Linked DNA regions of Kluyveromyces lactis. The protein of the gene in region 2 interacts with the protein of the main gene of each other region in a pairwise test. Links are inferred from orthologs where the notes say so. Each region holds a gene or a part of one and is shown on either strand. Other genes may lie near its edges. The genes, in order: SSN8, PHO85 and KLLA0_C08305g.

Region 1 (2,322 bases), on a different chromosome or scaffold from region 2:
AATATACAATGCGGGAACCTCACAGAATAATGAAATGACAGACACTCTGCTTCTGCTTCACTAAACTTTTGGACTCGCTTTCTTTTGAACTTGTGCTTCCACTTTTCCTACTTCTACTCTTTATAAATACACGTTAACATTGTTAGTTAAGATTTGATTTCGAGTTTCATGTTTAACTCTCGAAATCATATTGCCGTTCGTTCACTTTTTTTTTTCTTTTCTGCGCATGAATAGCTCTAGATTATTTGGCAGATATCGCTTCGCCAAAGATATTTTTGGTGTTAAAGAGAAATAGAAGTTGCAAATGCAGCTCTTGGAGTGAGGCTTCTACTTGTCCTCTAGTTGACTGTGATTGCGAACTAAATTTTTTTTGTGCGTACAATGTGTATATTTCTCAGTGTCTGCATTTCTGTGATTCTTCCGTGAGTTGTCCAATATAATTTCATTTCGTTCTTATGCGATATATCCTTGATGCGTGGTTGATCTTGAATGCTACGTAATTTGTTATGTATGTACAGGTGTGAACTGAACGAAATCTTTTCGGCTTCAGAATCACTGAATTGCTGGTGTTTGTTGACGGAGGTATAACTCGTGTAGGAGCGCTCTGATCCGCAGTTCATTGTATTTGTCCCAATGGTCGTATAGTGATATGAGTTCTTGAAGGATAAACATCACTTGTTCCAAATTAACTTGAGTTTCAGCGATGAACATGTTGATGTTAGCACGCTTTGTACTGTCCTCTGGCTTGTGAATGATGCAAGACACTGCAAATAGACAACTTATGGCGATCACGTGCGGTGAATAGAGTAAATGGACATCGGTCGTATAACTATCGTTAATCAACGACCATATTTTCTGAAGCTCATCGTCTGAGAGTTTATAGTTGTACTTTTCGGATGATAATGCCTTCTCGATCTGTTCTAGAGACCGGTACGGATGGTGTACAATCAAATATGATTGCAATTCCTCGATTAAATAAAACTCAAACTCGGTCACTTTTGTCACATCCGGTGGAATAAACTCTGGCCATAGAGACCTCGCCTCGTTGACTAGCGTTCTTATATGCTGCGGACATTCTTCCACTTTGCAAGCCAAATAGATGCAGGTGGTGATTAAAAGATACAGGTTCACTTCCCTGACACTAGCTCGAAGCAAAAATCGGCTCAAATAAACATGTGCTGTAACAAGTGCACACTGCCGTATATTGAGCCTCCTGCCCAACTTCATTATAAGGAAATAGCAGTATATCCTCAAATTGTAGTCTCGATCATAATGCAGATCTCGCTGTGTAACCGGAATGTTTGTCGTCACCTGCTTGTTCGCCTTCGAATCGTGAATCGTAACATTCAAACCTTGTGGGAATAATTGGCATTCCAACAGCCAGAGTTTCTGCTTCTCCTTAGCCAAGGATTCCCTAGTATACTTCCACTTGTGCCTCTGACTCGAATCCCAGTATGAGGCGCTCATTTTGGAAAGATAATCTTCTAGCTGTTCAATGAATAAGGGGGGGAAAGGTATTTTTTATCCTCCAGTGAAATTTGTACTGCCTTTTGTTGTCGGAATCCTTTGTTCAAAGTACCTAACCCGATTCGGTTCTTACTACCTTACCGTTCGCTATTCTTCAATTCATCATCAAGTACATTATGATAAGCTGACCGTTGCAGCCCTAAATTTCAGGTCGTTAAGAAGTCGGGTAACCTTTTTGAAAATTTTTTGGAAAAAAGTTAAACATTCAACTATATGAACCAAACATCAGCACTTCAAACACTTACTTTTAATTAAATGTTTTCTAGTGTTGTCTTTTGTTGTTGTTTGTTTCGTAAGTCGAGGGTTTTGTAGTCGAAGAATCGTCACTGATCGAAGCTTACATAAGGAACGGATTTTATCTGTTCAATTGAAATGATATCATTTCTATAGCTTTGGGTAGAAAGTCTCCGACCAGTCCGTAAGCGGAAACGTAATGAGATTTAAAAACTTTTCAAATGTTTAAATCAACTCATTAATCGTGTTGGTTTTCTGTCACGGTTTCTATCCAGAGGCTGTTTTAGAAGCCTCTGTGTCTTGGGTACTGAAGTATTTCTTTACTTTAAACGAAAGTTATGACGATTGCCCGAGCGTTTTTATCTCTTTTTTTGTTACTTCTGTTTACAGGGGTGATTAGGGAGGAGGTAGCTTGGGTAACCCAATGGAGCTTACTTTCTCGGCTCACGAAACTCTCCATCCTTTTTTCAATCATCAAACAGCTTGAAGTGGATTCGTTTCAAATTTATTTTGAACTTTTCGATACTTACGCATAGTCAAATATGCCAAGCTGCCCTGATT
Region 2 (2,820 bases):
GGAATTGCAGAAACAGGATTATCCATCAATATTTTACTCGGAGGTAGAATTTTTTTTCCAAAACGATATTCAACTAAAGAAACCAGTTTACAACCAGTTGATACTTGAACTATCCGTCCACTACGAGGTGAAGCAGCCTTATTTCCTCATAGAAACCTTAATGCATTGGTTTTTCCATACTAACCAAGGTCAATATAACATCAACCATTTATTCCATGCCATTATCTTGGTAACTCACATCTCATCGGTGTTACCTTCTAAATCCTTGGATAATAATGGACCCTTAATCGAACTAATCAACAACATATATTTGACTCCTGCTGGTCAGCAGTTACATGAGTTGCTATTAGTAGACGATTATACTGACGAAGAGGCGTTTAGTAGAAGGAGAATACGTGTCCTGAACAAATTCATCAATAAATTCTACAAGTTGGAAGAAACAAGACCATTGTTATTGTCTCAGGACGTCTTATGGGAAACCTTGGTCGACGTTAAGGACAAACATGTTATGAAACTTATTATGGAATATGGAGGACAGCCTAGCATCAACGTAATTCAATAAATCCGTAATATAAAAAGTAAAAGGAATGGTTACAGATTACTATACACTTATTTATTTATTTATTTGTTTGTTTGTATCTTTAGATGAGCAAGGCTATCTAAATCTAAAATCGTTAGTTGGCATGGTTATATTCTGCAAACCATGGGTGGTTCAAGGCATCCTTTGCAGAAAGTCTTGCATCTGGGTTCAGTTGCAATAGACCATGCAATAGATCCACTACATTATCGTCCAACACTTCCTCCGTATTGTTTTGTAATAGCTGTTTCAAATCACGAGGCATATGTGGAGGCAAAAGTGGATTGTATTTAGCCAATTGAGTCACTTGCGGCCATGTCTGCTCCACTGGAGTACCCATCGTATCGAATATGAGTTTCAACTGTTCCTCATCGTTGGAACCAGGGAATAACGGTTTCCCCATAATCATTTCAGCCAAGATACATCCGCATGACCAAATATCGATTGAAGTGCAATAGTTTCTTGACCCCATCAACACATCAGGAGCCCTATACCAAAGAGTCACCACTTCACTGCTGAAAGTGTTAACTGGGATACCAAATGCACGAGCCAACCCAAAATCACCAAGTTTCAATTGACCTCTGTTATTGATCAACAAGTTCTGAGGTTTCAAATCACGATGCAAGATCCTGTTCTCATGGCAAAACGCTACACCTTGTAACAACTGCCATTGGAAATATTTCACCAAATCCATCTCTAAGCCCTTATGAGAATTTCCCTTGTTTCTATTGTCCATGAACTTCTTAAGGTCATTATCCATGAATTCAAACACCAACGTCAACTTATTCTCAGTATGAATCACATCGAATAGCCTCACGATGTTATCATGTTTCAACTCTTTCATCAACGATATCTCCCTAATGGCCGTTGACGGAGTTCCTTCTTCGCTATCCAATTTCACTTCTTTCAAAGCAACGTATACACCAGTCGTCTTATTCAATCCTTTGTACACGGTAGCATACGTACCGTTACCAACCTTTTCAAGTTGCTTGAATCTGGTTTCATAGCGTAGTAGAGGGGACAAACGATTGCTGCGTTAGTATAAAAGTCAGAGTTATAGTGGTAAGGAGAAGTACTCATCTGCTTTGTACTCCTCGCTGCCAGTATCAAATATTCACAAAACTGCATACTGAGATGGTGCCACCATAGTTTATGTTTATTGATGATCCTTGGAATGGTCCTGAGAGCTATATAACCATTATCGGATCCTCTTTTTACATCTGTTCAAGAGATAATGATTCAAATAGGAATTGAAATCTTCAAATATTTAAGAATGGTGTTATCTAGAATAAAATAGTGGATACAGAAGGAAGTAACTTAGAAGAGGACAGAAATATTTGAGGTTTGGCAGTTGTGGCGTCCATCTCAGATAGTTTACTACCTAATTATATATGCGTACCATTTCAAAACTCTTCTTTCCCCTGTACTTGCTAATTATAATGCCAGTGACAAAAGTCTACTTGAAGATCTTCTAATATTAGACAGGAGTAAATACACAATTACGCTTTAATACCTGGAAATCTTATCCATTCATTTACAGTAGTAAATAATAATATTCATGTTGAACAACTTCCAAGTGGTTATATGGCTAAAGGCAGGAAGATATCTTGTATGTTGCTTCGAATTCCTGGTGCCTTTAGAGCATGAGTAACGTTCGAAGTGAAAAATTTAAAGAGGGCATCGATTCATCAACTAATAAGCAGTTTCAACGCAGACTCGAAGAACTCGATGGAATACCAGGATATAGAGAACCATATAGACTGTGCACAGGTAGAGTTGACGTAAGTTTGATATGACCTCGAATACGCTTCATTATACCGTGGAGAAATCCAGTATTTTGGGACCAGAATGGCAATCTTTATATTCGACAGCGGAACCTGTCGACTTCGATAAATCACATTTCGAACAAGCTATGCTAAATGTGATAAGGCAGCCTAATGTAAACTCGACTGTTATTCTACGTGCAGATATGCTTATAGACAATGAATACGACTTAGAGTCTGGTTCATGTGTGAAATCAGAGAAGAAAGACATCGCGTTGGGAAGCGATGAGGGTATATTGAAAGTAAACATCGATGATCTAGCACCGAGATCTGTACCGATAGCGTTGGCTGATGTTACCACAAAGTTCCAATTTGTTAGGAGGATTGTTCCGAGGAATCCATTCAAGGATGCTATCATTAATCAGACGTGTTTGGTTATGAATTCCAACTCAGATGCTTCAACCTCTTTAGTAATTTACA
Region 3 (2,814 bases), on a different chromosome or scaffold from region 2:
ACAGCTAATTGAAGCCCAATTAGTTGTAATTATTGGGTGTGCCAAACAGCACTCAATTAGCCAGTATCCAGACTCTTTTGACTTGGATCTTTACCAGCAGTTGTATTTCAGCTAAATTAATTGAATTACTGATGAATTTACACAGATACTCCCGTAGATATTGGAGCATTTTCTTTTCCGGCAAAATTAGGCCGGTAATGCCGTCCCGGCTCTACCGGAATTGCCGACTGAAGGTTCCATTTTGTTTTTTCCTTTCGCTTCTGCAAGCAGTCTTTTTTCTTTTTGTGACAGCCCATAACCTTCGTTTCGACTTTTTAGGCTCTTTTTGTGGTCGTTCAGTAATAGTAAAGAAAGCGTCTTTTGCAGTGAGTCTATGAAGAAAGTCAAGATTTTGTAACCTTCAGATCAAAAAAAAAATACTGAGGAGAGGTGCAATGTCGTGTAGCGAAATTTAACGGCATATTGCTGACACACGTTATAGCCACTTTCTTTTTTTTTTTTTTTACCTTAAAACTCAAAAGATCAGATTCAATATGATTATACATATAGATAGACAATATTCTAACTGCAAACGTTATTAATTCTACAATATTAATGGGGAAATCCGATACGTTAAGCATTATTCTCATGCAATTAATGATGAATTGGTTGGTTGTGATACCGATTGATATAAGTGCTTTTCCTTGTCCCAGAATTTGTACAACAAATCTGCGTACCTTTGTAGCTCTTCCACACTGATTATCAATCTAAAATCACATAGGATCAAAAACTGGAGTTCTAAATGATTCAATTCTTGCAACGAGATACCGCCAACTCTCGCATATCTTGAATTACTGTAGAAAAAGTCACTGATAAACTTGGTGCTTACCGTTATCGCTGCAATGATAAGCCTGTGAATGTTATGAGAGTCCATCACGAAAAGTTGTGGAGATGACTGATGTGCTAGCGAAGCCGTCGTCTTATCCGGTGTAGACACGACAGATACCATGTACTCTTGTGCAATGGCATTGCATTTTTTTGCTATTCTATCAAAATGGACCAAAAGCGAGAGTAACACATCGTTCGTCGTCGGACAATACTTTTGAATTCTTTGAAAGTATTGTTTCAATGTTATTCCTGGTACTTGTTTACCTCTAAAACTCAGTATTTCTCTCATAAGAGGTATGTTTTTCCCCTGAGATGTTTCGAAATTTGGAGTGGATCCAAGCGAGTCGTTTGATTTGATTATCTTCGTAAGAAGTCCCGTAAGCATATCTAACAATTTATAAGTAGGAAATGTCGCAATATCCATATGATGATTGTTATTATTAAGGGAATGTTGTGTTTCATCATTGGAATGATGGTCTGGCTGGGAAGTAGATGAACTTCCTGTCTGTTCATCGTCTATCCTTAACTCTGATACAGCCTTAACAGGTATCAGTACATTTGAATTTGATTGAGTATCATTGGGAAGAAAATTACCGGATAAATTTGAATGTCGAAGGTTAGACCCTGAGTCCAACGAACTGCTTACACCGCTAGTATTGTCAATAAATGATGAGCTTATTCCAGCATGTTTGTTAAAGTTGGTATCCGTATGATTATTGCTCGCGATGTTATTGTTATAATTGCTATCAAAGTAGGAACTCGTAACACCATGATTCATATCTTGAGGGGTCAGTCCACCAGATCCATATTTGTCAATGCTTGAACTTGATGAGTCTATAAGTCGTGTAGATGTTGTGATTGCCTCCGAATTTACCTGAGAGCCCTGCAGCGAGGAGGAATACGGTTCCGTTTCAGTCCTGTTAACTGGTATCTCTATAGGCTCCGTTTCTGCATAACTTGATGAAGTTGTGTTACGCAGGTATGACATATTATTGGATGTTATTTATCCAAGGAAGGGGGGGTGGGATACATGCAATGCTACCTGATTTCAAGATCCCTATGAATGATATAAATCAGAATGTGCCGCGTGTAAACCGTTAGTTTGACTTATTCGTTATTGAGTTCTTGAGCCCTTGCCAGATTCCACTCTGAGGTCCCTGAAAACTATTTCTTTTGAGAAAATGGTACCTGTTCCTTATTTCAAATTGCAGATAAACCCTTGTCCTTATTCAACTAAACAAATAATCGTTTCGCAAAAAAAAAGAGGAAAAATAGAGGAAAAAAAACAATCGTATCCTGTGTAATTGTTGTGCCTCCCACTAAGTATCAATTTCCCAAGATGTCTTTTCAAAACTGTAATAATAATGGACCACAGCACGAATAACACTTTGCTCTGTCGTCTTATGTAACTCGCCTTGTTTCTACACGTTGTTGCAGTCCCTAATATTCTTCTGTCTCTTTTATTTTTTTTTTTATTTTTGGTAGTTTTCGGTTTCAGAAGTTCCCATACAAAACATACCAACATCACGTGCACAATATGTTGTCCTATAAGGTCAATACTAATAATATAGTGTTTTGAGGGTCGCTACATATGCATATTTACAAGAAACGGTTAATGGTATATACAACATGTTCGTGTTGACATATCACTTCTTCTGTTCTATGAGTTCGTTATCCTTAGTTCGAACCTCCCCGCTCAAAGGTTGCATCTGTTCGTATTTCTTTCTTAATTCGAGTTGATACTCATGTTCGTTCTTATTTACCATTCTTTGACGTTCCTTTTCAGGGTCTACGCCATTCTGTCTGGCTAGTTTTTTCTCTGCTACTCTTTGCGCATCTTTGATTGGTCCCTGATGTAAAGTCTGTCTTTCAAGTTCTTGTACGTGATGAACACCTACGACTATCGTCGCTGTGAACAAAGTAGTTAATCCAAGAGTGATCTTACTA

What was found.
Region 1: the proteins of PHO85 (region 2) and SSN8 interact in a two-hybrid assay, tested with the Saccharomyces cerevisiae proteins (2 studies listed by BioGRID). The link is inferred for Kluyveromyces lactis from reciprocal best matches to the Saccharomyces cerevisiae genes PHO85 and SSN8.
Region 3: the proteins of PHO85 (region 2) and KLLA0_C08305g interact in binary tests that used the Saccharomyces cerevisiae proteins (3 or more experiments, as listed by UniProt). The link is inferred for Kluyveromyces lactis from reciprocal best matches to the Saccharomyces cerevisiae genes PHO85 and PCL6.

What each region holds. Positions count from the first base shown.
Region 1 is NC_006041.1:737,259-739,580, forward strand, and holds SSN8 (cyclin-dependent protein serine/threonine kinase regulator SSN8), read right to left. Parts: upstream 1,468-2,322; coding exon 553-1,467; downstream 1-552. UniProt on the Saccharomyces cerevisiae protein: Component of the SRB8-11 complex. The SRB8-11 complex is a regulatory module of the Mediator complex which is itself involved in regulation of basal and activated RNA polymerase II-dependent transcription.
Region 2 is NC_006040.1:1,022,221-1,025,040, forward strand, and holds PHO85 (cyclin-dependent serine/threonine-protein kinase PHO85), read right to left. Parts: upstream 1,725-2,820; coding exon 1,708-1,724; intron 1,573-1,707; coding exon 675-1,572; downstream 1-674. Other genes in the region: KLLA0_D11968g (uncharacterized protein), read left to right, coding at 1-562; TRM44 (tRNA (uracil) methyltransferase), read left to right, coding at 2,370-2,820.
Region 3 is NC_006039.1:728,371-731,184, forward strand, and holds KLLA0_C08305g (PHO85 cyclin family protein), read right to left. Parts: upstream 1,856-2,814; coding exon 626-1,855; downstream 1-625. Other genes in the region: PET117 (Pet117p), read right to left, coding at 2,514-2,814. UniProt on the Saccharomyces cerevisiae protein: Cyclin partner of the cyclin-dependent kinase (CDK) PHO85. Together with cyclin PCL7, controls glycogen phosphorylase and glycogen synthase activities in response to nutrient availablility.